Lepisosteus oculatus: one gene and its partners. The protein of the gene in region 1 interacts with the protein of each later gene in a pairwise test. Links are inferred from orthologs where the notes say so. Each region holds a gene or a part of one and is shown on either strand. Other genes may lie near its edges. The genes, in order: ntaq1, cerebellar degeneration-related protein 2, tle5 and junction plakoglobin-like.

Region 1 (7,207 bases):
TTGCTTTTCCTTCTGCCCGTTTGTCTTCCTTAGAGATAGTTCAGCTACATTTTCTTCATCCTTTACTGATACATGGCTCTAAATTCAAAGGAAATTTTGTAAAACATGTGTCATTTCTTATTTCTTATTATAAAAAAAATAAGACAAGAAAGCAGAATTGATTTTGGGTGAAAACACATTTTCCTAGATTCTAGATGCGCTTTTCCTCACATTTGTGCATGAAGATTATCACAATGTCATACCAAACAAACGTCTTTCTTGATGAGGCTCCTTCTGTTTCTATTCAGCCCAACCTTACAATCGTTGACTGTAATAAAAATCAGACTCCAGCTGTAAAATGCCTTCATCCTCTCAACAAAGGTACGAAACAGTATACAGTATCTCAGCAAGCTGAATTAAAAGAGGAAATCTTACTGGCTTACCAGTTTAAATGTACCTAAAAGTTACAATAAAATAGCAGATCTAGTTCTTTCCATAGCTTTCACCTGTAAATTAAGTTCCACACTCGAAGGGTAGTTCCCTAAATACGTGCAGCAGGCCTTTCACCCAGAGATCTTATATATTATCCATTCATCCATTTTCTAACCGCTTCTACCACAGTTCAGGGTCACAGGGGAGCCAGAGCCTATCCCAGCAACCAACGGGAGCAAGGCGGGTGGGGTCCATCACAGGGCACACAAGGGCCAAATTTCCCAGAAGTCAATTAACCAACTAATAGATGTTTTGGAGGAAACGAAAGCACCCTGAAGAAACCCGTGAGAATACGGGGAGAACACACAAACCCCATGCAGACAGAACTCCGGGTCCAAGATTCAAACTAAGGCCGCAGTGCTGAGAGGCAGCAATGCTATCTGCTGCAATATCATGCTGTCCAAAATTAAAATCTGATTGACCACATTACAGCACAATAATAATAACTGCTTACACTTATATAGCAATTTTCTGGACACTCAAAGCGCTTTACACCACCAGTGTGCAGCATCCACCTGGATGATGCGACGGCAGCCATAGTGCACCAGAACGCTCCCCACACATCAGCTATCAGTGGGGAGGAGAACCGAGTGATGAAGCCAGTTCATAGATGGGATTAGGAGGCCATGTTTGGAAAAGGCCAATGGGAAATTTAGCCAGGAAGCCAGGATAACACCCCTACACTTTCCGAAAAACACCCTTGGATTTTTAATGACCACAGAAGTGTCAAGACCCTGAATTAAAGTCTCATCCAAAAGACGGTGCCTTTTTACAGTACAGTGTCACCGTCGCTATACTGGGGCATTAGGACCCACACAGACTGCAGAGTGAGCACCCCCTGCTGGCCCCACTAACACCTCTACCAGCAGCAACCTTAGGTTTTCCTAGGAGGTCTCCCATCCAGGTACTGACCAGGCTCACACCTGCTGAGCTTCAGAGGGCTGCCAGTTGTGAGTTGCAGGGTGAAATGGCTGCTGCTGCAATATCCAATTGATTCAGAACATCAGGCTCCAGACATACTGGACACAGGTCAACTAGCAACATAATCACTGACGCTGCCAGGTCGTGTTTTTATTAAGATTTCCATTTAAGGTTTCTTTTTTTCACTTAATAACACTGCCTTCTGTGATCTGCTCCTACAACTTTTGGCCAGCTATTGGACAGCTTTGAGCTGTTACCAACTGATGGGAGCACTTGTGCAAATTTCAGCGACAGATTACTGTTCAACAAATCATAAAAGACAATTTCTTAACTACGACGATGGGGAGTAACTATTTTAAAGACACGCTTTAGATACTGCATTCTGTGCCTGGAGAGATCACGACTTTCTGCTAACGTTTAGCTGGCACTGACGTTACTACTCGCAGTAACTTCAAAATCATCCCCTTTCGTCTCCAGGTGTCCACTACTGTCCACCTCAGGAATTATTCATCCTCGGATCTGCAGTATGACAACCGAGCCAGCAGCAGATTTTGACATGATCTCCTTTATTCAGTCAAGTCGTAAGGTTAGTAACTGGGCTCTGATGACCCGGACACGCTCACCTCTTCGCCTCTAAATTAAAACACATGGACATGGAAACTGAACTTTGATAGGTCGAAAACGAAGCTAATTACCGATAGGCCGGTATGAAAACAAGTCGTATAACGCGTGAAGGAAAACTGTCAGTAACCTTAGTATTTTGCATTTATGTTTCTCTGTTTAAATGCAAAATAAGAATTTTACGGACTGTGCACCGGGTTTCGTCCTCTGTTAATTCACACGTCATCCCAACTCTCACTCTCTTTGCTAGAAGTCAGTGATGCTGTCAGGCAGCCCAGATCATCTGATCTGAGAAAGCTCTGGGCGACCAGAAGAATAAACCGACGCCGTAGTCCAGTTGTTATCAGTTTGTTGCGATTAAGAGCCAACACGCAAGGCTCCCTATATCACGAAGTGTCCGGCTGATCTGGGGGCCAGCTGTCAGCCCCCGACTCAGACAGTTTCTTGGGAAGAAACCGCAGCTCGTCTAGTCCAAAACAGCTGTCATTCCTGACGCACACACCCTCCCATTAACAGCTTTATCATTATTATTATTATTATTTCTGGTAACCCGCGAAAGGACAGGAGGCTCACGTGTCGAGTCGGGGTGTTCTCGGCTCCGCTCGAGCTGTCATCCGCGGCCCTCCTGGAGCGCGCGGAGCGTCTCCGCGCGGACGTCAGGGACAGAAACTCGGCGCTCGAGTCCAGCGCCGGCAGCTTCTTCGGGGACGCGGGGTCCGCGCCCGCACTGCTGCGCAACATCACCATTATAGCCCCCCGTTCTCCTGCTCAGACCGTCAACGGACGTGTTGGAAAAGTGAAGAGGTTTCAGAGTAGGAACAATCCGCTCATGTCCCTTTTCCGGTAGTGGCCGGACAGTTGCCGCTAGCAGACAACCTCTCACTTTTTCTGTTTTTCCAGCCCTTGATTTCTGGCGCCACAAACGTCACAGAAAGTCAGATCACTACCTGTATGTTGCTCCGAAGCAAGAAATAGGCCACGTAGGTACACCCTCTTCACTTTGGAAAGTAACGTCCTGTTTCTGACCACACTATGCTGAAATGGCGGTGACGATAAGGAATTTCTATATGACACCCCTGCGTCCTGTCGTTCTTGTTTTCTAAACACCTTAAGAATTTTATTCCATCCTGCGTAGTGATCTATTTTGAAAGGGTGCCCCGGTAACTTTTTGGCGCGTAGTAAACAACGCCACACGAGGAGCTTTCATTGGCTAATAACAAAGGCCCCGCCCCCAAGCCGAGGTCATAACAAGCACGTGAGGCTCAGGGAAAACGCGGGAGCTGTCAATTCAAAACAGCCTTCTGTTGCAGTGCATTCTGAATATCTGCGTTACACAGTTACAGGCGTCTCTAAGAGGGGCAAATAAGAACAAAAGGAAAGCTGCACTTTATGAAATAAATGTACATTCCTTACATGTCTCAAATACATACAGAAGCGAGGTTCATTCTTTCAGTTTGTGCACATAAATCTTTAGTGTTCGTGGTAAAACCAGCGAATACGTTAATAATGAAAACTTACCAATGAATTTGGGATTAATTCAGTTTATTTATCGTCCTAGAAATAAGGCAGAAGGACCCTGGGAACCTCTGTTTATAGTTTTATAGAGGATTGCATTTCGTATGTATAAAAGCCATCTCTGGCTGATTTTGTACAATTTTTTAAGAAGGAAAACTGCTAGCCTGTTTAAATTTAATGAGTGAGAGGAGAGGGATTTCACAAACTCATTGAACGCCATGCTCAGACAAGCTTATTTTGTATTTGTGGACGTCATGTACTTTTATCAAGTATGAAACAACCAAGCTAGTAGGTTTGCTGGCGCGAACTAGTAACGATGAAACTGTTTTTTTTATTGTAGTCATATATCGAGTCTGTATAAACGACTGTTTCTGATTGCTATGGTTAACGTAAAGTTAAAGTTCGATTAAGTATTTATCTCTATACCGTTGCTTTTGTATTCAAAGGGATGACTGTAAGAAATGTTTAGCTTTGAACCACAGTGTTTGATCTTTCATTTGTGCATAACACTAAATATACTTTTCATAGTCAGGTTATACATAAAGGTTTACCAATAAAAAGCGGGTGAAAACAGTCTGAATTTATATCCACCAAGAGGTTAACATATTACATAAAAGTTGTTTGCCACCCGGAGCAATAAAGGTGTAACATATCCAGTCCCCCTGTTTTTAACGTCCGCATGATGTTACGTTCCTTTTTTAGATGAACAAGTCAAGAAAGTCAGGAATTCACTTTACTGTTCCCTGACATCTTCCCTCGAGTCATGAATAATACAAACGAATCATCTCATTATTGCAGTATTACACCTTCCAGACAAGACTGCATCTATACAAGCTGCTACTGGTGAGGACAATTGAGTTATCCACAGCAGATATTAGGGTATTCACGCTACCCTGTTGATAAGTCTCTTGTATTACTATCAATGAAACTGTGCGGCAGGACTGTGAATACATTTGTGTTTTTATTTACTAAAGTTGATTGTCCTGTTATGCCTTTTCTTAAGAGGAATTCTGCTTCGATGTTTAAAAGGTTTTTCTTTTGCTTTTGAAGGAACCTTTAAATGCTATCCGGATTGTCACGAATAGAATTAAGTTTGTTACTGTGGGGTTTTTTTTTGCGGAATGTTGTACCCTTAACGGTGTGCATAACCCCTTTTTAATCTTTACAGTAGCGCTCTTTTTTCCTGTTTTATATTTTTATTTGAGGGCATGAATGATGAATTTAGTTTACATTACCTCTAGTCGCCTGCCAATCTACCGATGCAGACTATTAAACTCTTTTTTTGTTGTCAGCGAAGAGAATGTCTGGAAGCTCTGCGAACACATTATGACTCGAAAACAATACCCTGAGGATGGAGTTTATGCAGTGTTTATATCCAACGAAAGAAAGATGGTAAGCTGTCACATATACCCCTGTTTTCACCAAGTCTAGGAATATATGCACAATGTATATAATGTATATACAATGTATAGCTCTGTTTTTGCTGATTGGAAAGACGGTATGCAGATTTCTGATTTTGTTTAATTGTTTTTAGCATCATTGTAATCATTTAATACTGACTGAGTGAAACACACGAATGACTTTGTTACATGAAAACTGATTGGTAACAGGCGATGAGCACATTTCCTAGAATAAACAGGACACAAGCTCTCTTCTCCAAAAATGTCTGTTTCACACTTCAATTTCAATTCAATTTATTTTTATATAGCACCTTTCACAACAAGGTTGCCCCCAAGGCACATATCAGTGTGACAGTACATGACGTTACAGTCCAGAAAGAGAAAAAGCCAGAAGACAACGGAGGAGAGGAACCAAAAACTCCTCTGTAAGGAGAAAATAAAACTCTAGGGGTCCAAGGTCAACTGGCTGCCCAACCCCTCTGGGCATGCTAACATTAAACAATTCCAAAAGAGTACTAAATGTGGAGTATTGAGTCTTCCATCATGTCCTTCTGTGTGCCAGTACTCCATGCAGTTATCTGTGGACCAGCAAATTCTCCTGAACTATAGCTACAGTATATTCGTGATCTCCCTCTTGGATCCATGGCAGAGATGCAGCATCCAGCTCAGATGGTGCCCAGCTTGGAACCTCTCAGCACTTCAGCAAAAGTCATTAAAACTGTTGAATGCCAAGGTGGAGGAAAATGAATAGAAAGAAAAAACGCATATGACTGCTACGCTCTGCTTAAATCAAGAGAAAAATAACTCTGTGTCACCAGTATGACACAATACCCAAATTACTGGGACAACAATCTCAAAACTGCTATTTTTGCTTTATTGCCAGTCTGTATTTGTGATCATGAAATTGCTATGATTGGCATGTCCAATCTTATATACTGTAACGCCCCGGGGTTCGCGTGGGTGTGCGCCCTCGCCGCTGCCGCCTCAGGACGGCCCCCCACCGTCAGGGACTCAAACCCGGGCCTCCAGCGTCACTCAACAGGGACCCAGCCACTAAAGGGAAATCTCCCATCAGCCTAGTGGCTACGGTCCCTGCTATTCCCAGGGAAGGGCGGTGACGTCACCGCGCGGATAAGCCGGCTCTCACAACCAATGGTGGCCGTATGCGTTACAATACTTTTTATTTTTAGGAAGCACCATTCATATGTTTGCTAACATTTGATGAAAAAGAAACTTTATTTTCAACCCAGTGATTTCAAGTAATTGGGACACTTGCAGCACAGACAATTTGATCCTCCAAATAAAATCATGAAATTAATTTTCATTTTATATGTTGATTAACTTAAAATGTGTCTGTTTTCTGCCTCTCTTTCAATAAGCTGTAAATGACGTATTAATGGAGTACAGTCTGTCTTGTGTTTCAGGTTCCAATCTGGAAACAGAAGTCAAGCCAAGGAGATAAGCCAGTAATTTGGGTAAATTGCACAGATAAGAACCCTGTTCATCCTGAGCCCCAAGATGAGTGTCGCATTAGAGAGTGCCATTTCAGATGCACCTGGTGGTAACCCAGCAAAATTAAACAGATATGGCATGACTAATAAAACCTTTATCCCTGTGCTAAATTTGCGTGTTCCCCCAAATGAGAAATCAACACAATAAAACAAAAGAGAATTACTGACAGCTGAGGCTGATTAAACCTGGCTGTTGTCACTCCTCCCCAACCTCTGTTATAAACTTCGTATCTGGGCAGTGAGAGAGAAGGCAAACAGCTCTCCCTGTCTGAGATCTTGAATTATTTTGTTAATCTAACTTGGTTCTTAACAGATCTCTAGCTCACTGAATCCTGCTCTCTAGGTGGGTGGGTGTTTCACGTGAAAGGAAGAGCAAAGGATTAATGATGAATAAACAGTTCTCTCCTGATTCAAGTTTCATGACATGTATATTAAAGATATTATACAATCAAGGTCCTAGATGACCAGTGTGTCTGCATTTCTTTAAGGCATGATGAACTATGGGAAGCTATTATGCACTGTCTAATTAAGCCGGTAACTAGCTGATTTATCTATTTAACGTCTGAGTTGCAGTGCAGACCTGCGGACACATCAATCCAAACTGATATACACATTATTCTCTTCCCCAGGACTACCATGTTATCCTGCTCCATGAGAGCCGTGAGGGCCAAACTTATATCTACGATCTGGATACCGTCCTGACCTACCCTTGTCCATTCGCTGTGTACGCAAGGGATGCCCTTCAATCAGATGATTTTATCAAACCAG
Region 2 (7,244 bases), on another chromosome or scaffold:
AAACACTAAGGCTGGGGGTTCTGGGGGCTCGTATCACAGATGGCAGATTCCTTCCTTGTGAACATGTCCTTTCCTGCCTGCGTTTCCTTACGCCTTGAAAACCCTTCTCACTGCTCATCTGCTTTGGGATTCATGACCTGCAGCAGTATAAACCTGCACTTTCTCTGTGCAAAAGGTTATTAGATACATGAAGCAAATCCTGCAATTCTGATTTCTGCAGACTATCTGTGCCGGCGGCACACAGCGCCTGTTACATTGCAAATGGAGAAAAATCTATATTTAAAATAAGTGTCATAGCTAGGGAACCTGTCCACACTTCGTTTGCATTGTCCATTTAAGTGACCTCAAGTTCTTTTTCCACTGGGTGTTGTATTCATAAGGTGTGGAGAAATATACCTCCAGAGTGTGAAAGCAGGGTACTCTCCGTCTTACAACTAAGTAGTAGCTGACGTCTATAATGCCTATTTATGGTCTCTCTCTTTAATTCTAGGTTGTGTCTTACTTTTTTATTTTTGGTAGTTAAATCATCTTGGGGTGTTAGTCCAGTAGGGTCGCTACAGAGCCAGCCAGACCTGACAATTAAGAAATGCGGTTTTGCAGTTACACAGTGTTGAGAGGGAAACTGGCCTGTGTCTAGTTTGCCCATCTTCCTAAGTAGAGGTGCAATATCTTGCATTGCTCAGGACCTGCAATCCGTTTTCTGCCAGCTCATCGTTTCACAAAGAGCCTCGTTTAAGTGGCGCTGGCTCACACACAGGGGTCTGCCTGAGGCTCGAAAACTCAACCGTCTGATCGCCTTTGCCTTGAGCATCCACCATTGACACTCAGGAGAAACGCACTCGGAAATTCACCCTCTACAATTTACTTCTCGAGTCAGAATCCCAGAGGTGCAAACAATATCTGTGAGGCATTTTAGAGACAAAGCCACATTTCTACTTATTGAATGTGGAAGCATAAAGTGAGCAACAATGGTTAGCCCAGGTCTTCTGAAGTCTGACGGAACTAGTATCAGGCAGACAAAAGTGAATGTATTGAGATGAAGTGGCAAACAGAATTGTTGCTGAGGTTTTTAGTGGTCTGGAAGTGACTTGCAGTTCGATACTGTTTTACACCCTAAACTGGAAAAGGTGAGAGAGCAGCTTCTCCTTGCGTTAAAAAAACCCAACACTGCAAATGATTACAGCCTACAGCACAAAAACACCGATTTCATTACCTCCCAGCAAAATAACTTGGAAACACAGTGAGACGTTTGAAGCCGAACATGTCAAGAACCCAGAACTGTGCTGCCCAAGTAACTGTAACGTAAAGAGAAGGTCACGAATCTATAATATTTCCTTGCACTTGTATAGTGCTCTTCAAAGGATCCCCGAGCGCTTTGTATACAGGAGGGGACCCACTTCGCTGCTCGTGAGGTGCAGCACACAGCACCCTCACCGCACAGCAGGTCAGGGGGAGCACAGAGAAATATATCCTCAATTATTTTTGCATGTCGTGAGGTTATAAATTAGTTCATTAAATGGGTGCACATTGGTCGTAAACATTCTTATCTCGGGGGATGCTAAAAGCTGCATCTGCGTCAGAAAGCTGCCTTGTTTCCAATGGGTTAATTTCTTGATCCAGGAAATGCGAGCGCAAATTCACAGGGAAACCGCAGCTATCTCAACTGGGAGCCGAGCGACACATCGATGCAACACTTGTGTTTGCGGTGAATTTCTGTTCATCGAAAAGCCTTAAACTCGGTTATATTTTGAAGAGCTCTGACCATTTCTCGCGGCTAGTCAACGACATCCTTCCTTACAAAAACAACGTGCAAGGAAGAAGTCACTGCTCTCGGCAGCTCAGTGCATGCTCCTATTAATGCCTTCCGAGCATGTCATTGCTTTTTCGAGCACTTGGGCGGTCCAGTCTAGCTTGGCTTTGCTGCTGTTGAAATCGCGATGACAAAGGAGTCAGATAAGGCTGCTTCCTCTCTGAGCTGCAGTAGCTGCGGGGAAGAAGTGACCAGGCGAACAGCTCCCACTTCTCACGGGAGACGAGCGGCTTGCGAATGTGGCCGAATTTATCGACAAAAAGGGCTTTGTGCGAGATCCGCCGACGCGACTCAGCGTTTCCCAGATTATGCTGCAATTCACATTCAATTCTAAATCACACCCCCGGCAACGAACATTTTCACGCCGGGTCGGAAAAAAATAGCAGAACATTACTGCTAAAACACAACACTGTCGTGGAGTTTTTAAACCCCCGACCGTCCGCAGCACTGCGGTTTAACCGCGTTAGGTTAAAGCAAGCATGACATGTATATATATACTTGCTTTTAACATCTTCTTTTACATCGATCTGTAACTAAAAATCAGTGTTCATTTCTTACAAGGGAAATGCATCCCCGGGAACGCAAAACAAAAACGTGAGGACAGTTTTACGAAACAATGTAGACGCTGCATGAGATTTTTTGGGGATGGGGACTCGCTTTCAAATGGGCGGCTCGGTTGTAAACCAACGTTTTGACAGGCGACACTAATCATACAACAGAAACGCGCACGTCGCCCTTAGAGGCTTGTTTCTGGGACGCATCTCCCCCGCTGCCCGCTGAGCGCACAGCCCCGGGCGATGGGTGAGCCCCGGCGCCGCTACCTGGCTCGGCTCTCTTCAGCACCACTGAAGAGGAGTTTAAATGCCCCAGCCCTACCGTGCTCCAGGTCCCGGTGGTCATACCACGGCTCCTCCTCCTTGATCTCGAACTCTTCCTCCACCATCATATCGGTCAGCATGTTCGCGGCCGGGGTGGGGAGGACGACGACTCTGGGGACTCTTGTCCTCCGCTGGGCAGTTCTGTCCCGTCCTTTTTTCCTCTGTCTCGGAAGAGCGGGCAGCTCCTGCTCCTGGGTGCAACACACACACACACACCAGCACGCTCGCCGGCGACTGAGCTCGCGACGCTCTGGAGCCTCCAGCGGCTCGCACGGGCTGCAGCAACGTGGCACCCAACCCCTGCGCCGCGGCGACGTCAGGAGCGGGCGTGTCAATGGGAGCCGACGTCACTTGATCGCTTGGAGGGGGCGCATTGAAACGCCGGGGAGGCGGGTCCGGAACGCCGGGCAGCGTCCAATCACCGCAGGCAGGGGGAGGGTCTCAGGTGGTGGGGGGTGCCCCGCCCACTTCCGCGATACGCGGGCTCCGCGCGCGCACACAGCTGAGCTGGCTGCGAGGATATCGAGAAATCGTAGGTTCAGTTTTAACTCATTCATTTTTAATTAACCTTTGATCAAAGAGGAGAAAATAGGAGTGTGCGCAAGAGAGCCACTGCAGGAGTCGCCATTGCTAGAACCTTAGACTTTACGACCCATGAAACTGCATGTTTTTTTTCTGAAAACAATAGCAGTGGTTTGAAAGTCTTTTTGTGAAGAACTTCCGTTGTAGTTGTTTTGTGTCTTTTCACAACTAATGAGTTATAACCGTCGACGCAAAGGAAGCTCGGTTTCAGAAATTGTGGTTTTTTTCTTAAATATTTGTCATAAAAACGCAGAAATGTATCAAAGGAATCGATTGACAAGAGGGGCGGGGTTTCAAAGTGCCAGTTACTGTTTACTGCTAGTGTTTGTTGGTTTGTAAAATGCTTTTAAACCTCGTTTATGTTAGAGAAATATATATTTGTTATATATGTTAGAGAAAAATACACTGACAAACCACAGCCCAGGGAAAATCTGTTTATATGTAGCCGAGGGAGTACAGTGACAATAATTTACTGTGGTGTTTACCGTGATTCGCACCTCTCAATGAGGTGAATGCAATGGGGTTTTTATATTGTGCATGATAGTATATTCTTAAGAGTAGGAGTGCCGGATCTTTCAGTTTTATACAGCTCATTTCACAGCTTCTGGGGCACAGCATGTTGTGTTGTCAGCCTGGCTTTAATGGCAAAACTGACAATTCCTGCAATGCCCACAAACCAGCCTGACTTGTTTCGGGAATCCTGTTCCTTGAACTTAATGACTGGTTGTGCTTAACTAAAACCCTATCACTCTTTCCCTGTTTCGTTAGCTGTATTATGAGATCGCACTTAAATACCCCCGTATTAATTCATTGTTTGTCTGTTATTAGCCGCGCTAGCCCTCGATAGCTCACGGTCCGGCGTGCGGGAAGGCGTCACGCGTGGATGAGCACCCGCGCCAGGGCGCGCGCCGCTCCGGGGAACCCCGCTCAGGGCTCTCGCGGGGGCGGAAGGGCGGCCGGTATGCGGCTCCTGGCGAGACTCGGGGTCCACCCGGGCGCGCTGGCCTACTCCATGACCACGCTGGGCGCCGGCATGATGAACAGCATCTTCAGCTTCTACTACGTCAAGCTGTTCCTGGACAAGTTCCAGATCTCGGAGTCGGCGTTTCACCAGGCGCAGGCGAGTGCTGACCCACGGGGCTTTTCCACGCAAGTCGCACCCCCAGAGCAGGGTAGCGTGCTGTAGCCCTTTAGCCCTCGCTGACCTCGAGTTGTCTTCTTGCATGAAAAAATCAGTACTCACATATGCTGTACTGTAGGCTAGCATTGTCACCTGGCTGGTGGGGAGATGAACTCTGAGTCTGCAGTGTGAGGTCACTGCCCCTGCTCTTCAAAGCCCCGATTCAGAGTTTATAGATGTTTTCTGCTGGCGGGATCTTCAAGTCCCTGCAGGACATAAGGGGTGGAAGGTAAATGCCCTGCCAGTCCGAGCGACGAGGCACCTGCTTGAAGGAGATGAAACATCTCTGTGACCATCTCCGTTTACTACAACTAAAGGGTTTAGGAAAAAACTACTACAACTAAACAGGATTTGGAAAAATGGAACTATATATGTTTATAGTAGTATAATATGGAAGTTTTGGTTTTAAAAAAAAACACTCTGTAGTTGAACAGTCTGAACCTATAGGTTAATTATACCATGGGAATTTGTGCCTGGGGGTTCTGAACAAGGAAAGAGAGAACACAGAGATTGAAAGTTATGAATTCATGCAACTCCTTATGTCTTCCTGGGCTGTTTCCTCCTTTAGCATTCCTTCTGATTGTTTGTCTGTTTGTCTGTGTCTCTCTGAACATCCTGCTTGTGGCCTTCGGGAGCAGCTGATCAGATCCCTGTGGTGTCAGGTTTGTGTATTCCCTAGACACAGAGGTCTGTCCGTACTCTCCCCACTGAGGAAGTGCGAGATGCTACAGATACCCTTATTCATGTAACTCTCCTCCTCCTGAGACTCGTCCCCATGAGTCTTACTGGCATGGTGGGTGTTTTGTGCCTCACGACAGCAGAGAATCGGCCTCCCATGGATTAGAAACATGACATCAAAGGTGATTAGGTTAGTTCAGTGTTGTGCTATGTAGGTCCTTAGCTGTTGGCGTCCTTAAAATAGCTCCTGCGCTTTTTCAGTGAGTGCTGAGAGGATTTCATTGTGTGCTGTATCCAGGGCAGCAGAGAAGGAACACAAGGCACCTTTAGGTTAATTAACAAGCCAGGGCAGAACTTAAACTTGTTCCTCTGCCTCAGGAAACAGAGTGCGCTTTTGAGAAAATAAAGAGCACGGCGTGCCAGTCTGCCCAGTCTCCTGTTCCAGAACAGTCCGCTCTTTTTTCTCAGTGCGCGTCTCCAAACGCGCATGATGAAGACCCACCCCATTCGAGTAAGAGCTGCAGGATTTAGCCGCCTGTGTACCACCTTTCCCCAGCGTAACATTTCTTAATAAAAATCACATCACAGCTCATACTGTCTAATTCCGGTCTGCTGTTCGTCCCATCAGCCCATCTACCCTCTTTGGGTGACAGGGCCTTCTCCTGCTGCATCCCAAAGCTCTGGAAATCTGTCCCAAAGGACATCCGAGAGTCACCTTCCCTGAACACTCAGATCAAGACTCAAAGCCTTCTTCAGAAGGGCTTTTATTGAACTGGCTCTCTGTCTGCCCCTTTGCTTCCCTGCTGTATTCCAAACCCTTAGTGCAGTTGTGTAATTCTGCACATTGAGAAGCCACTTTTAAAGGTGCTATACAGTATAAAGTTTATTGTTATTATTATCACTAGATGAAGGCTCATAGTTATTGTGGATTCTGCTGTGTTTTCTGAAGAGGGCGAGGGAACTGAGAGGGGATGGTCTGGCCCATCTCGTTGGTCTGAGTGTGAGTAATGTAGTGACTGACTCTCCTCCTGCGCGCAGCTTGAAGTGTCCCTTCCTCGTCCCGTGCGCTCTGCTGCAGGTGATCTACATGGTCTGGAACGCCGTGAACGACCCCCTGTTCGGTTACGTCCAGGACAACTCCGGGATGCCCTGCTGCTCCCGCCGCCGGCTGGCCGTCCTGTATGGGGCGCCCTTCTACGCCCTGGCCTTCCTGCTGGCCTGGTTCCCGTGGCGCCCCTACGCGGCGGGGGACTGGCTGAGCGGTGTGCACCTGATCGTGGCGCTGTGTGCCTTTGACGGCATGCTGACCTTCGTGCTCCTGGCCCAGTGCGCCCTCTTTGCCGAAATATCTGTCCAGCACGAGAGCAGGCTGAAGCTCATCAAGTACAACCAGGTGGCGTCCCTGCTGGGCTCCTCCAGCGTGCTGTTCTGTGGGCTGATGTCTGGGAACATGGATAACTTCCCTGCGTTCCAGGCCTTCACCGTCGCAGCCGCGGCGCTGGCGTGCGGCTGCATGCTCTACACGGGCCTCCACAGCGAGAGCCGCTACGCGGGGCGGGGGGGCCAAGCGGAGGAGCAGCCTCCGGGGGGCGCCGCCCTGTCCCTGGCCTCGGTCTGCTCCCTGACCTGGCAGATCCTGAACCAGAGGGACTTCCAGCTCTTCGTGACCATGAACTTCTTCCAGGTCTTCATGGTGGCGTTCTGCAACAACTTCGCCATGATCTTTGCAGAGCACCTCATTCCCAGGGAGGTCTTGCCCTCGCTGGCCAAGAGCATCATGTATGGAGTCGGCTTCATCTGCCCACAGGTACCGCAGACCAGCGCTTGGTAACGGGCATCGGGAACTGGGGGATATTTTGACTGGTCAGGGGGGCATGCAGTCATACAAGACAGTTTTCCTGATGAAAAGCACTATTACTGTGGTGCAAATCCAAAATCAAAACTTCATGCTATACTCTATTACTCTACCCTATACCCTTATTCCTGGCCTATCCCCTAATTCTACATGGTCCATGTGTAGATGTAATATAGCCTCCCTTATTAACCCATATGCCCCAGCCTTCAAAACCGTCTGCCTGATCCGCAGTGCTTCTCCTTCTAAGCCCCGTGTGTTTTC
Region 3 (7,750 bases), on another chromosome or scaffold:
AATGTTTTGTGCAACACAGTGTGCCACACACAGTGCAGTGTGGTACGGTCCTACACACAGTACAGTACAGTGATGAAGTCCTGCACATAGTACAGTACAGTGATACAGTCCTACACACAGTGTAGTACAGTGTGATACTGTCCTACTCATAGTATAGTACAGTCCAGTGTGGTACAGTCTTGCACACAGTACAATACAGTGCGATACAGTCCTACACACAGTACAATACAGTGTGGTATAGTCCTGCACACAGTACAGTATAGTACAGCACAGTGATACAGTCCTACTCACAGTATAGTACAGTGAATCAGTTCTACACAGTACAATAGTGTACAGTGATCCAGTCCTGCACACAGTACATTCAATGCTGAAAAGAGAAGACACAAAACGTTTCGGCTGTGAAGCCTTCTTCAGGTATGAGAAAGACAGGGCTGACAGCAAAGATTAAATAGCACTGAAGAACAAAAGCTGAGAGAGAGGAGGAGGCAGGAAGGGCAGAGAGGCAGAGAGGCCGCTCAGGAAGTGCAAAGTGGAGAGGGGTGAAGAAAGGTGTGAAGTCAGAACCAGCATGAGGATAGAAAAGATTACACAAAAATAAGTCTGTCGTTGAGAGAAGGGGGAAGGTGTGAACCTAGATTCAGAGTTTCGTTTCTGTAGTTTTTCTGCTGTGGGAGTTGAGAAACCCTCCTTTGACAACAGGGACAGAGAGATCGGTGTGATCATGGCCGTCTGAGGTGCATTGAGAAACTATGGGCTTTGAGAAATCTTAAATCTTCACAGCCCTAACATGTTCTCTGAAGCCGTCTCCTAGTCTCCTTCCTGTTTCCCCATCGTAGATAGCTGGGCATTTTCTGCAGGAGATACAGTAAATGAGGTTGCTGGAGGTACAGGATGTCGTCTGGGTGATCTGGAAGTGACCTGAGGGGCCCTGAATGAGCGTGTTGTTAGATATGTATTTGCAGGTGATGCAGCGAGCTCTGTTGCAGGGGAAGGTGCCTGGTGGGGATTGCCGAGTGCGAACGGGAGCTGTGAACAAGACGTTTACGTAGATTGGTTTGTCAGATGATTGGGCGGTTAGGGGTACCGATGGAGGGATCGCCCTGTAAAGTGGAGAAGTTGTTAATAATGGTTCTGGGGGTAGGAAGTGTGTGGTAGGGAAGCACCAAAGGAATGGGGTTGTGAGACGGGGAGTTCCTGATCGAGTTGATGATCCGAGGGCTGTTTTTGGCCCGGGTGAGAGCCCTGTCAATAACATGGGTGGGGTATCCTCTGTTGATGAAAAAAGAGACATTTTGAGTGCTTGGTTCTGGAAACCCATGTCGTCACTGCGGAGTCGATGTAGCCTGAGGAACTGTGAGAAAGGGTCTGGTGTGTTTTTGGTGTGAGTGGGGTGAAAAGAGCTGCACAGAAGATAGCTGTGTGAATCTGTGGGTTTGTAATAGACCGAGGTTGAGAGACGTGGACAGATACATTTATGTCTAGAAACTGAAGAGTGGTGGAAAATATGTTAACTGTATATCTGAGGGAAGGGTGAGAGTTGGTGAATTGATGCAGGAAGTGTTCTAGCTGGTCATTAGAGCAGATAGCAGCACCGACGCAGTCATCGATGTATCACTTGTAGAGGTCAGGGATGAAGCCAGTGTAGGAAGTGAGGAAGCGTTCTTCTACCCAGCCGACAAAAATATTGGCACTGCTGGGTCCCATCCTGGTGCCCATGGCAACTCCACTAACCTGCTGATAAAAAAAGGTTATAAAATGAGAAGGCATTGAGTGTGAGAACCAATTCCGCAAGACGCACTAGAGTGTGGGTGGGAGGGTCAAGCACTGTGTGTTTGTCTAGCTTGTGCTTGAGGGCTGTAAGACCGTCGTTGTGGGGAATGATGGTGGAGAGAGACGTGATATCCATGGGAAAAATGTAGCATTCTGGACCCTGAAATTGGAAATCATTGAAAAGTTGGAGGGCATGGTTCGTATCCCTGATATATGAGGGAAGCATTTCAACCAGAGGTCTCATAAGGCTGTCCCGGAAAGCAGAGCTGAGTGTGGTCGGACAATTGCACGCTGAGACAATGGGGTGTCCAGGGGTGTCGGGTTTTTAGATTTTGGGAAGGAGATAGAATTGGAATACTTGGGAATGTTCGACGATGAGACGGTTCGCTTCCTGGGGCAGCACCTGGTTGCTGAAAAGAAGAGCGACAGTGGATACCACTTCCTTCTGGTAGTCAGTGGTAGGGTCCTGTTGGAGAGGACGGTAGGCAGAAGTATCGGATAATTGTCTGGAGGCTTCCTTAATGTACAAGTCTTTTTGCCACACCACAACAGCTCCTCCTTTGTCTGCTGGTTTGATGACCATCTCATCCCTGGTGCGGAGAGATTGGAGTGCCTGAGTTTCTCCTTGGGTGAGGTTAGACCTGCGTTTCCTGGGTTTGGAAAGGGTCTTGGGAACTTGATTGTTGCATTGGTTAATAAAGTAATCAACTGGTGGAAACCGGCCGGAAGGGGGAGTCCAAGAGCTCCGTTTAGGATTTATATTGTTAATGGCATCAGTGAGGTGAGGAGGCGTTGTCAGCAAAATGAGCTTTGAGCCGAATCCTGCGGTGAAAACGGTTGAGGTCGACTTGGGTTTGCGGGATGTCCAGCTTCTTGGGTCTGGAACATAACAGGGCTCTGCTGAGAAGAGATCGCTCATCCTGTGAAAGAGAGAGGTCAGAGGGTATAGGAACCACAAGGTTAGGATTGGCTGAGGTGGTGAAAAGAGGATTGAGTGTGATTGAGTTTTTTACCCTTCTCTGAAGTGAGGAACTGGTGGAGTTGGGAGTTGAGGGATCTGATGAGGTTTGTTATGAAGAGAAGATGCTATGCAGCTGTGAGCCGTAAGAATGCCTTGGCTTCCTTGATGTTGTTGCCAGGAAGGGTCATCTGTTGTCTGAAGGAGAGGATGGTAGAAAGCATTAGTTTCCGCTAACACTGTTATAGAAGTCTCCGAGTATTACACAAGTCCAAAGAAAAAGTGTTAAATTTCAGGCGAAATCCTTTAGGAATGATATTATAACGACGACATCTGTAAAGGAATAGAAGGTGGTTAGAAAGCCTGGTCTTGGATCTTGGAACAGATCGCTGTGAAGAGGCGGAAAGCTGGTTTAGTGAGAGAGGGAGCAGGTAGCCCAGGGAGGAAGAGAAGGAACGACGAAGAGATCTAGAGAAAGATTTAGAGGAAGGCATAGTGGGTATAGTTATACAGTCCCACTCACAATATAGTACAATGGTACAGTCCTATACACAGTACAGTACAGTGATACAGTCCCACTCACACAGTGATACAGTCCTGCACACAGTACAGTATAGTTATATAAGTTCAGGTGGGTAGCTGCGTCAGCATGCGTAGGCTGCAAAGGAACAAGTAATAGGTTTATTCCATGCTGAAAAAAAGAAGAAAGAAAACACAACGTTTCAACTGTGGAGCCTTCTTCAGTATATAATCCTACTCACAGTACAGTGTGATACAGTCCTACACACAGTACAGTACAGTTATATAGTCCTACTCACACACTCCTACACACAGTACAGTGATACAGTCCTGCACACAGTAAAGTGATACAGCCCTACACAAAGTACAGTGATACAGTCCTGCACACAGTACAGTGATACAGCCCTACACAAAGTACAGTGATACAGTCCTGCACACAGTACAGTACAGTGATACAGTCCAACACACAGTACAGTACAGTGATACAGTCCTGTACACAATACAGTGGCCTTTCAGTTGACTCCACTCCATCCCTTGTACTGTTCAAACCGCAGCCAAAAGTTATTTCCCCATCAGCTGTGGCATCATACAGACAGCTCCTGATTAATTATTTGCAGTACAGATTATGTCTCATTAAATAGTTATGACTCTGGCCTTGTCTTATTAAAAATTCATTCGCAGAACCAGCAGGCAGTGCTCTGCTTTCAGCCGGGAGCGCTAGGTCCCGCTGGGTCCCGCAGGGCGGGCAGAGTGGACCTCTGAGACAGCACCACAGCTCTGGACTCGCTCGGACCGCTCCTTCTGATCGGCGCTTCCCTGTGCTGGGCCTGCGGGAAACATACTCCTCTTTCACAACTTCCTCTGAACCTACAGACGTCAGGGCACGAAACATCCCCATGCGAGACACAGAGTACTCGTCCACACACAGAGCTTCATCCAAACAGGTGAAGGTTCATTCTCTGCTGGAAGGTTAGAAAAAAGCAACACGACATTTGTTTCGGCACAACGCCTCGCTGTGTTTCCTTTCTTTTCTTTTCAGCAGGGAAAACACCTTCACCCTTTCCTCTGCGGCCGACGCTGCTCCCTACTCGAATTGATCTAGGTGAATCGTCTCGCTGGGATACCCACAGCCAGACGTCGTTTAAGCAGCCAGTGCACAGCGGAATCATCATGGCGGTCTAGGAGGGTTAAAAGACGGTTCCGGTCCTGAGGACTTAAAATCCCCCCGAGCAATTGAAAACGCGTGTAGTTCACAGTAACTAGACCCCCCGCACCCCTGGCCTGGACCCCACGGGTGTGCGGGGAGGAACAGAGCTCGCACCCGCGGGCCGGGAGGAGGGCGAGAGGGGGGACACATTAGACGGCAACACTTCCGCTAAGCGTTCGTGTTTTCACCCACCCGACAGCGCAGCCGGGGCCTGCCGAGCGCGCCCGAGCGCAGCGCCGCCCCAGTCCCGCGTCACGCGGGCCGCGCGGCTCGTGCGTGGTGTCAGAGCTCGAGCGCGGCGGCGACATGGTCGGTCAGCAGACACGGCACCCACACCGCGAGCGCAGCCCCACGCACACGACCCGCAGGGCGCTCTGAAAACACGTCCGCCCAGCTCATCCGCCCGCTGCCGAGCAGGCGCAGGACGGCGTGCGCCGGCAGACAGTAACGGCGAGGCAGGGAAGGGCTGCGGGGAGCAGCGTGATTGCGTTTCTGTCAGTCACGGGGAAGGGAGCCGCGCAGGAGCAGCGCTGCTTGTTCAAACTTTGGACCGTCTGGGAGGAGAACACGGTTCCGAGACTTTCTCTCTTAAAACAAAGGACAGAAACCCCAGCGCTCCGCAGTATGAGTGGGATACATTAGGGCCGGTTGGGAAGACGAACACAGGGCTGAGAAACAGGAGCGAGGCTCGTCTCCTGCGGTGACTGGCGTCGACGCGCCGCGAGCACCTCCGTCCCCGACACGGGGAGACAAAGGGAGCGATTCCAGGTCCCTCACCCCGGCTTTCGTCTTTGTTCGGCAGAAGGAATTAACAACAGGAAACTGACATGATGTTTCCACAATCCAGACACTCGGTGAGTCTCGGCGTCTTTATTCTCCTTCTCGATCCGCTCTCGCCGTGCCGTCGTGTTTAAAATCGCTGCGCGCGCGCGCGCGCGTCGAAGTGTGGGTGCGCGCGCTCGTGTGAGTGTGTGTTTTTCCTCCGGGCTCAGGGGGCACCCCGAGCGCGTGCACCCGCGCCCCCCCCCTCCGTTCCTCCGGCAGCAGCTGTTTACATTTCGGGGACCCGGCCGCCGGCGCCGCGCGGCTCCGCCGGGGTCCATTTTAAGACGCGCGGCGGGTCGCCCCTCCTGCCCCGGGGAGCGCGCGCCGTGCTGGGGGCAAACCTGGCGTTGCGTGAGCGCACGTCCGGGGGGCAGCGGCGGCGGCCCGGGGGCTACTACTGAAGCCGCGCCGCTGCCCCCCGGACAGCCGGCCGCCTTTCCGGCGAGATCCGCGCCTGAAGCGGCCCGAACGGAAACGACACGTTATTTCTGCAAAACTTCCACAAAATGGCCGTGTCCTCGCTCGCGCGCAGCGAGCTCGCCCGGGGACCCCGGCCGGGGATGGGGGTCCCTGCCGCCGCCGGCGGGCCGCTCGTCTGGGCGAGAGGCGAGGGAGTCACCCCCAGGGCCCGGGCGGGGGGTTTCCCCTGGACCCGGGGCCGGAGGAGGCGAGACGCGTTTCTCCCGCTGGTCGTCCGCGACAGTAACAGCTACCATCTTGAAGAGAGCAGGCGGACGATGAGGGACACACGCGTTTCACGATAACTTCATCAAACTGACGCTAAACTGAATATCGCCCCTCGAAAGTTGACCAAAATATGAAATTAAAATACTTAAGACAATGCCGTGTTGTAATTTATAGGGTATGTTCCTCAATTCCGCATTAACCGGTCCAGTTTAATACAGTTTATTTAAATTTAACCGGTTCCAATTGGCTTACATTTTAAACGTACTTCATTTTTACTGCAGCACCTTAAATGCTCATACGGCTGTTATTAATGAGATTTATACAGCCTTCCTCGGCTGTGATTAGGTGAGCTTGGAAAGAAACACGCACGCAGGCCACATTAATTCATGGCGTCTCAGCCTGATATTACATCATTTTAGATCGTGGTGCGTCTGGCCGTGGTTTTCGCTCTGGAGCTGCAGTCCGGGGGCTCAGAGCTGCTCAGATCTCCAGCTGGCGCTGAAAGACAGGTATAGAATGTAAATTAATTCTACTCGTTTTCTGAAGAAAGGATAGACCCGCAGAGTCCGGCCACAGATCAGCTCCAGAAGAAGGCGTCTTTGTCGCCTGGTTTGTGTTGATCATCTGGATCTCCGTCAGTTTTCGATTCATACGCTTGATTAATTAACAGGGGGTCCATGAGGGGCTGAGCAATGTGATGCCCCCCTCCCCCCGACAGGATCAGGAAAGCCCGGCGTTGTGTGTGGAGGTTCTGAAACTCCCGATGCGTGAGGTTCGGGAAGAGGGGGGTCCCAGTCGTCCTCCTCTCCAGGATGAAGAGGTTACCTGTGCACCTTGAATTGGAGCACCTGGGGAAAGCCCCTGCAGAGCTGGGCAGAACGTGCAAACTCCCCACAGAAAGGTGCCTGAGGTTGGAATGGAGCCTGGGACCCTGGTGCTGTGTCACTTGTGATTTCACCTGTGAGCGCCTGGAGTGTCACTACTGCTCCTCCTTGTCTTCACCCCCAGATCTCAACAACCCTCAACTAAGGTTGCTGCTGGAAGGGGTGTTAGTGGGACCGACAGGGGGCACTCACCCTGCGGTCCACGTGGTTTTAATGCTCCAGTATAGTGACGGGGGCACTGTACTGTAAACAGGCGCCGTCCTTCAGATGAGACGTAAAACCGAGGTCCTGACTCTCTGTGGTCATTAAAAATCCCAGGGCGTTTCTCGAAAAGAGTAGGGGTGTAACCCCGGTGTCCTGGCCAAATTTCCCATTGGCCCTTACCAATCATGGCCTCCTAATAATCCCCCTCTCTGAACTGGCTTCATCACTCTGCTCTCCTCCCCACTGAGAGGTGGTGTGTGGGGAGCGTTCTGGCGCACTGTGGCTGCCGTCGCATCATCCAGGTGGGGCTGCACACTGGTGGTGGTGGAGGGGATCCCCATTACCTGTAAAGCGCTTTGAGTGGAGTGTCCAGAAAAGCGCTATATAAGTGTAAGCAATAATTATAATTATTATTGTTATTAACTCGCCACAGTCAGTTACTGGTCCCGCTGGCCTCAAGGGGGGTACCAGCCCGGGGCCCAGTGCCCAGCGTGCTTTCTGCCCCTCAGGCTCCACACACCCTACAGTCCCTACAGCAGTGGCCCGAGGGGGACCCCGAAGACTCAGGACCCCAGCCTGAAACCTGGGCCGAAAGCTGGTCTGTGTCTGGCGTGGGGGCGCTGGTGTGGAGCTCATGTCCTCCTCCTGGGGAAAAGATCCGGCGCTGCTGAGGTGCTCAGAGGTCTCGGGATCGAG
Region 4 (7,891 bases), on another chromosome or scaffold:
CCTGGCGAGTCTCACAGTGACAGCTGTGGCCTCCCCCCGCGCGCCGGCCCTCTGAGTGCAGCCTCGGGCCAGCTGACCGGCCGAGACGTGGCTTCAATGTGAAACATTGAGCTGCTTGGCCACCTTCTGAAAACCGCCGAGAGCCACTCCGCTGCTCTGGAGAGGCTCCGATCGGGGGGCTGACCAGCACCCCCGCAGGGAAGGAGCCGACACCTGGAGTCTCGCCAGCCCTGGCTCGCCTCGGTCACAAACGATGTGAATCCGAAACCCGACTGCGACTGCAAGCTGCTGGACACCGTGCCCACGAAGGCTCACAGACACTGAGCGAGTGTGAGCGCTGTGTCCCAGCTAACAGTGGGATGAAATCGCTGTGTGACTGGACATGCCTCTCCTGTCTCTGCTGACGATATCAAGCCACAGTGCAGAGCTCCCCCTCCCCCGAGAGGAATCAAGCCCGCAGCTTGCTTCCTCTCTCCATCCTCCTCCTCGCTCCTGAAGAACCCGCGGCTCTGGGGGTCCCCTCGCACAGCTGCTCAACAGGGAAGAGACGAGCTCTCTCGCGCACGTGGGGGAGATCAAACCGCTGCAACAGGGGCAGAGGGCACCTGGGGCCCCCGAACCCACAACCTGCCTCACAGAGCCCACTGCTTCTCCTGGGCAAGAGGAGCCATCAGCATGACACCTCAGATCAGATCACGTCATTGGCCCTATACAATTTCTTGTATCAGGAATTTCTTTTCACAGACCCCAACTTGCTCTCCATGAGACACACAGACAGGGAGAGAAGCTGGGGGTCAGAGCACAGGATCAGCCATTGTACAGTGCCCTTGGCACAGCTGGGGTCAAGGGCCTTGCTCAGGGGCCCAATGGAGTAGGATTCCTCTGCCGGCCGCGGGATTTGAACCGGCAACCTTCCAGCCACAGGTGCAGAGCCATCGCACCTGCCCCACAGAACAGCGGGCATGCCAGCAGTGGGCTCAGCAGCTGTCCCCCCACAGTACAGACCAGTGCCCCACAGGTGCAGAGGGAGATCGGTCCCTGGAGGAAGCCTGTCAGGCCATCCCACCAGCACTGGGACTGGAGCGCGACAGGACAGGGTCGCTCCTTCCTCCCAGCGCAAGAGGCAGGCAGGCAGGCTCTGCTGTGGCCGCGGAGGGTCAAGAGTTCACAGCTGCCTCCTGCCTCACCGCTCTCTGTGCCTCCGCAGCCCCCGGTCGCTGCTCTGGAGGCGCCGACTGCAGCTCCACGATGGAATGAGTGGAATGCGCCGCCCCCTCGCGCAGAGGGTCCTGCCAGCCGCGCGCGCTTCTCCGGCAGCCTCACAGCATCGGATCTCCGACTCGAAACGAAACAGGCTCGATTTAAGGACCTCACCACCCCTCAGTGAGGAGCCCCTGCGCGCTTCGCTCTCGTCACTCGTCAACAGCCCGTCCGAGCTGGCGGACCTTCCGCGTCAACAAGACCAGGTCGACACCTTCCCCCGCCCCGCAGGCGCCGAGACTCCCGTCTAAGGTGGACAAGTCTGGACGGGTTTATAATCGGGTAATCACTGCGTACAGAGAAGAGGAACGCTAACCGGGGGAGCCCGCACCACTGGTGTCGCTGAAGGTTCAAACCGCCCCAGAGCACAGAGGGGGACGAGTAACAGAACCGGCGAGGGCGGGAGGTCCGGTTCGGGGACGGTCTGCCGCCCGTGGGGGTGGGGCTTGTTTACATTGCGACCAGCCCGGCCGCTCGGAACAGCCGCCCCTTACCGTCAGCTCCACCAAGAGCCGCAACAACGTGCAGGCGCTCACGACAAAGGCGGAGAAGCGGGGGGCAGCACACTGGAATCAGAACCGAACCCCTTTGGGCTGGACGACTAATGCACAAGATAAACTGGAGACTTCAAAACTGCGGGTGATAATGTAGTGCGACTCATTAAAGGGACTGGAAATTCACACGTCAAATGTCGCTAATCAGTCGGGAAAAGCCAGGGGAAGTTGACAAAATGTAACTTCTGTGCGGCGGCGCCCCCCTCCCCGGGAGGCAGGGAGAGGCGCGCTTCCGTCTGCACCAGTGCTCGCCCACCCCCCCCCCCCCAGCTGCTCCCACAATTGCTCACCGCGACGGGTGGGCGCGCCTCACCGCCCGGAGCACACGGGTGTGCGCGGCAGTCCGGACAGGAAGAGCCGCCCTGCTCAAGCACAGCCACACAATGAGGACTGCTCGGCAGAACCGAACTGCGGAGCGCAGCCAGGGACGAGCCCAACAAACTCCGGTGTAGTAGGGGAGAGCTCCCGCCCTCGGTAAACCGCGCACCGTAACTCTTCCAGCTTATTTCTGCTCAACACGTCGGATCGCCGCTCAGACTTACAATGTTGCAACTTTCTCCAGCTGTGTGGACCGGGAAAACTCCCCGCACACACCAGCTGCCCACGGCCCGGCAGCACCCCACCTGTCTCCCAAGAAGAGCCGAAACAGCTCCCATTCAGACACGGAGTCTCGCCTGTAGCTGCACAGTTACTGGCCATCTTAATGCTCAAGGCAGTGACAGCTGCCGAGACCGTCCTCAAAGTTTCCACACACCGGCGCAACATTTTCTTTCTCCTTCTCGGAATAATAACACGAGCGACACCCTGGATAGAGATTGCACTGGAAAAGGAGACAGACACCGATAAGCAACACGTCCACATTGTCCGAACAGCAGGCTGAAAACAAACACCGTTCCCACATTTCAACAGACTGCAAGCAGCCGCATCAGGGAGAAACTGGGAAGCCCGAGCCCCTACCGAAGCGCTCGCACAGAAGTACAGACCGCATCCTCGTTTAGTACAAATACTGGCCGTCGCTCAGGAGAAAAAAGACAGTTAAACATTCTCTACCTTTGAAAAAAGATAGTCGATCTCGTCCGTGAATCCAGGAACTCGGCGAACGGGGTAAAAAAAAAGTTTGTTGCACAGCGTTTCCGCCACAAATCCCCACAACCACCAGACTCCGGACCCGACTGAACAATAACCGAGAGACAGCGACGCTCTCCTCCAGACACCGCCCACACTGCCTCGGCCCGCCCACGGCTCGGAATCCGTGCGCCCATTGGGCGTTAGGGCAGTAAGGGTGTGTCCCAGCGCTAGATGAGTGGCAGGAACGTGGCCAATCGCTCTTAAGATAAAACCAGCGGAGCGCTCAGTCTTGATGTCAATCATCTCTGCTCAATAAAGACCCGCCCTTCAAAGCTTTTCATTGGTTGCTGGCGTGTGGGGGCGTGCACGGGGGGGCGTGTGTTACACAAGGCGTTGTCACCTCTCTCCACAATGCCCCGCCCCCTCGTGTTTTTCTCTCGTGAGATCAGGATACCTAGCAAAGGTAAAGTGGAAATGAGCCACACCTGTGTGACGTGATGAAACTGTGCCCAGACAGGTAGTGAGTCACAGGCCTGCTGGTAAATGAACACAGTCTCAACGCCATTAGTACTGCCCCTTGTTATCACGAACAAGACTTACGACCTTATGAACACTTCAATATGACCTTTATCCGCTTGTGTTGACCAGAAACTTTGAGGTCGTGTTTTCTGCCCCGTGCTGAAGAGAGATGAAACTCGTGCTCCCAGCAAAGCCAGTCCCCAGGGCTCGCGCTGGGACTGTGGCTCCGGGATCGAGGGCAAAAGCAACGTATTGAGCTTTTTGCTTAAATGAGGAAGAACTGCTAGAAATGAATTTAAACAAATTGCATGCGAAGGCAAACCATACGTTGAATAGATCTGCTAATTCAAATAATGCTCGTCAATGAAAAAAAAAAAACAAATAATCCATCGATCCGTTCTCTAAGCATATTATCCAGTTCAAGGTCGTGGGGGAGCCCGAGCCTATCCCAGCAGGCAATAGGCACGAGGCGGGGTACACCCTGGACAAAACACCAGTCGATTGCAGGGCACGCACAGACACACTCACACCAGGGCCAATTTTCCCAGAAGCCAATTAACCTTCCAATATGTTTTTGGACTGTGGGGAGGGAACCAGAGTACCTGGAGGAAACTCACGCGATCCTGGGGAGAACATACAAACTCCTCACAGACAGCACCCCAGGAATCCAGGGCCAGAGCTCTGCCCTCAGGAGTTCTGTAACAAATAAGTTTATTGCTAGAGTCTAAAATAAAACAAAGTGAAACAATACAGTTTTCTGCACACAAAGTCCTGCTCCATTAGTTAAGGGTTAAGGGCCTCACTCAGGGGCCCAACAGAGCAGAGTAGGATTCCTCTTGGGATTTGGGATTTGAACCAGCAACCTTCCAGCCATAGGCGCAGATCCTTAGCCACAGAGCCACTGCTCCACCCAAACATAATGAATTAACACCTAATAATCCACTCGAGATACAGACTGACACTGGTCCCGCCCTGGAGCTCACAGACAGCACCCTGCCCTGCAGCCTCTGCCCTGGTTCACAGGCTGCAGCTGACAGGTGTGGCGTGGGAACGTCAGGCCCTGGCAGGTGTGGCCCTCTGTGTTACCTGTGCGGAGGCTCTCACTTGAGTTCTCATTCCCGGAGAAGAGAGGCTTACTCAGCAACAGTGCTTGACAGGCACGTTTTCTCAGTGCTCTGGTAGAGGACACAAAGACCCTGATGTATTTGTTACTGCTGAGTAACAAATAAGCCGAACATGGCTCGAATATTGGTGGGTGTTCATTTTTAGCTCTATCTGCCCGTGTAGCAGAATTCTTCATTTAGCTTTAAATGAAGAGAGAGATAACAAGAACGAGGCTAAAGAAAGAAAAATAAGAATACAGGTCCTGCAGAAATTAGAGAAGGACTATAAATATCTTGTCTCGGGATTCTTCGCTCTGCTTTCTGCTTGAGCTGGGGGGGCAGCTGCAGAGAAAGCAGATCTTTTTGGGGCGCAGGGGCAGCAGGTGCCAGCAAGGGGACTGCCTGTCAGGGAACAGGCTGACGAGGACTCAGGAGCTCAGCAGGGCCGGGAGCATCAGTCCAGGGTTGCTGGGTCTGCTCCATGACCCTCCTTCAGACCAGTCCCCGGAGAAGAGCTTACTGCCCCCAGCCCTCCTCTGCACCCCCGGAGCCTGCCGTGCGGAGCCGATGTGCTGCTGGCCCGAGGCCTGAGTCCTGAGCTGTTGAGTATCTCAGGCCACTGGCGTCCTGCTGCTGCCTCAGGGCTAATGACAGTGTGTGCAAGAGCTGCCTTTCCTGTTAGAAAAACAGGCCTGCGGAGATTTTCATTATTGTGTCCTTCCTTTGGCTTTTGAGTGAGCATGCACGGTCTTTCGTTGTTTGTGCAATAGCTGCTTTCCGCTGGCCTGGCCCTTATTTATTTCATCTGTTTGTTTATTCCTCCTTTCATCTGTGTTCAGTTTGACTGAGACGGTGATGGAAGTAAAGTGGCCTTCTGGCAGATCTAGTGAAATTACTCACGACGCAGGACCCAGAAGCCCTCTGCGGCTATCACAACCTTTTGAAAAGAGATGCATCAATTATTCTTAGACCCCTTCAGCTATAAAGAACAGCAGCTCTGCTCTCTGCTAATTTCTCTGCACATAGAGGTTTAAGAACCACCTAAAAAAGATAATTAGAAGAGAACAGATTAGACACCATATAGAGATTTTTTATTATTCTAATTTGTTCTTAAAGCAGCAAAAGGGAGAGGTGGAAATTAATTATCTCTTAAGCACACTGTGCTGAAAGCCAGAGAACAAGCTTCTGAAAGGAATAAAAAGCTTTTGTTTAAAATCTTAAATTAGCACTAGAGTGCTGGGGCTTCCATGCTTCTAATTTAATTGTGAATTCTATGAGAATTTAACTCACTTAAATCTGAGGCTATCATTTCAGATCTGATTGGGTGTCTCCAAACTGGGATTGAGACTGGACAGACCGGCTTTTCACACCCGACCTGTGTCACGAGGCTGCTGTGTTTCTCTAGCGTGGGGAAGGGGCTGAGCTCGGCTTGGGCGATTCTTGCCAAGCTTGACTGGACCTGACTGAGAACATTTTCCCAAGTGTGGCCACAGTGGGGACACTACTGCCCCCCCCCAGCCTTCTTTTTCTAAGGGTACATTGAAAGTAAAGGTGAAGTCCATCTCAGGGGCACCCCAGTATCTGGGAACCCCAGAGAACCCCCCGGACTACGCTGGCTGTGTGCGGCTGGCCACAGATGTGCTGTCGCTGCCCCAGTGACAGTGCTGGTGATGGAGCAACGCTGACTGGCCCCTGCAGCGGCCCGGAGGAGCCCCGCTGACTGAACTGCGTCCGTGCTCTGGGCTGCTCAAGGAGGAGGACCTCAGGGCGCTGTGTGGTACAGAACAGGTTGAGCAACACTGATCTGCTTGAGTCCACAGCCAGCCGGCAGGCAGTCAGACAGTCAGGGTGCTCCAGCGCCCTGCACCAGCGAGGCAGATGTTTCCAACTGGGCTCCGTCCTGGAGGAAACAGTGCTTCCCGTTGCAGGGTTGTTCTCCGAGGCTGGGTGCGCTGTATGCAGACAACAGGAGAGCAGGATATTGTCTTGGGGAAGGATCTGGGGGGTCTGTGTGAGTGGAGTAGCGTCAGGGGGCGAGAGCAGGGAATTCGTTTTTATACACAACAGAGCTCATTGATCCAGAAGCTCCGCAGCTCTCAGGCAAGGCGGTCTGGTCTGTACGCCCGCGCCAGGAGCAGTGTGCGTGACACAGAGAGCCTTTCCCCGCGCAGGGAGAGGGAAGAGCCGAGCCACCGGAGAGCAGAGCCGGGTCTCTGGTGCTGGCGGGCTGGGCGCTGCTGACCAGAACCCACCTGTACAGGTCACTGCCCAGAGCTCACTTCAGTATTCCCAGTCCAGAGTTGATCAAATTGAGAAACAGGGTACTGCTGTTAAGATGTCTGTATTGCTAAAGACAGTTACATCTCATATAAATCAGTGTCATTTTTAATACAATTAATTTAATTGCATGAATAACCATCTCTGTCTGCATCAATTGTCTACACTCATGCCCCATGTTGCCAAGTTTGGAATAACAGATTTAAGGGTCCACATTTTGAGCTTCTGACTGTACCTCTGATTTGTACTCTACACATCCTCCCCAGGTAAGACTGAAAAGGATCACTGCTCTCCCTGAGTCAGGTTTGTTCTGGGAATCAATCAATCAATCAATCAATCTGGCAGGCAATCCTCAGAGCTGATAATTAAAAGTTAAAGAACCACTGAAAGACACTGAAATACACTTTACAGTCTGGGAGCGTATTCTCAGCTTGGAATCAAAAAAAGACTCCAGGCCTCAAATCACACCCCAGCACAAGACTTTTGTTTTCTGTTTCTCTTTCTGGCTGAGGTCTGTCACCGGGGTCCTGCAGTGTGAACCCGCTGTCCCGGCCAGGAAGCCCTCCTTCTGGACCACCAAGAACGTATTACTCCACACTCCGCACTCCACAGGGAAACATTCCCCACGCACTCTGAAACTATACCGCATGTGTTGTTATTGGGCAGCATGACAAAACATTTGCATGACCCTTACAAATACCTGCTGTGGTGCAGTAAGGTGCAGTGGAATCAAGTGCAGACGGGTGTGTGTGTGTGGTGGGGGTTACATCGTACCTCAAATCACAAAGTCTGGTGGACACTCAGGAAAACTCATTCCCCACTCTCGCCCCCTGACGCTACTCCTCTCATACAGACCCCCCAGATCCTTCCCCAAGACAATATCCTGCTCTCCTGTTGTCTGCATACAGCGCACCCAGCCTCAGCGCGGCTGGAGAAAATGAGCTCTGTGCCATCTCTGTGAGGGATTCTTCCTAATGTGGTGGTTGCACTGCAGTTAATTAAATCCAGAATCCTGCACGCAAACACCAGCGATTCTATGAAGTGTGATTTGCATTGAAAGTATGTCAGCCGCAGTGGGACTGAGCTCGGCTCTGGTGGTGGCTGAGCCAG

Evidence for each region.
Region 2: the proteins of ntaq1 (region 1) and cerebellar degeneration-related protein 2 interact in binary tests that used the Homo sapiens proteins (3 or more experiments, as listed by UniProt). The two-hybrid records come from large-scale screens. The link is inferred for Lepisosteus oculatus from reciprocal best matches to the Homo sapiens genes NTAQ1 and CDR2.
Region 3: the proteins of ntaq1 (region 1) and tle5 interact in binary tests that used the Homo sapiens proteins (3 or more experiments, as listed by UniProt). The two-hybrid records come from large-scale screens. The link is inferred for Lepisosteus oculatus from reciprocal best matches to the Homo sapiens genes NTAQ1 and TLE5.
Region 4: the proteins of ntaq1 (region 1) and junction plakoglobin-like interact in binary tests that used the Homo sapiens proteins (3 or more experiments, as listed by UniProt). The two-hybrid records come from large-scale screens. The link is inferred for Lepisosteus oculatus from reciprocal best matches to the Homo sapiens genes NTAQ1 and JUP.

The regions. Positions count from the first base shown.
Region 1 is NC_090705.1:10,684,815-10,692,021, reverse strand, and holds the start of ntaq1 (protein N-terminal glutamine amidohydrolase), read left to right. Parts: upstream 1-4,192; 5' UTR 4,193-4,291; coding exon 4,292-4,371; intron 4,372-4,820; coding exon 4,821-4,920; intron 4,921-6,352; coding exon 6,353-6,403; intron 6,404-7,068; coding exon 7,069-7,207. Other genes in the region: ATPase family AAA domain-containing protein 2, read right to left, coding at 1-78, 2,587-2,760. UniProt on the Homo sapiens protein: Mediates the side-chain deamidation of N-terminal glutamine residues to glutamate, an important step in N-end rule pathway of protein degradation.
Region 2 is NC_090714.1:16,649,071-16,656,314, forward strand, and holds the start of cerebellar degeneration-related protein 2, read right to left. Parts: upstream 3,020-7,244; 5' UTR 2,769-3,019; coding exon 2,687-2,768; intron 1-2,686. Other genes in the region: mfsd13al (transmembrane protein 180-like), read left to right, coding at 4,154-4,390, 6,207-6,935.
Region 3 is NC_090724.1:9,409,145-9,416,894, reverse strand, and holds the start of tle5 (TLE family member 5), read left to right. Parts: upstream 1-4,741; 5' UTR 4,742-5,281; coding exon 5,282-5,308; intron 5,309-7,750. UniProt on the Homo sapiens protein: Transcriptional corepressor. Acts as a dominant repressor towards other family members. Inhibits NF-kappa-B-regulated gene expression. May be required for the initiation and maintenance of the differentiated state.
Region 4 is NC_090723.1:10,149,746-10,157,636, reverse strand, and holds the start of junction plakoglobin-like, read right to left. Parts: upstream 3,012-7,891; 5' UTR 2,865-3,011; intron 1-2,864. UniProt on the Homo sapiens protein: Common junctional plaque protein. The membrane-associated plaques are architectural elements in an important strategic position to influence the arrangement and function of both the cytoskeleton and the cells within the tissue.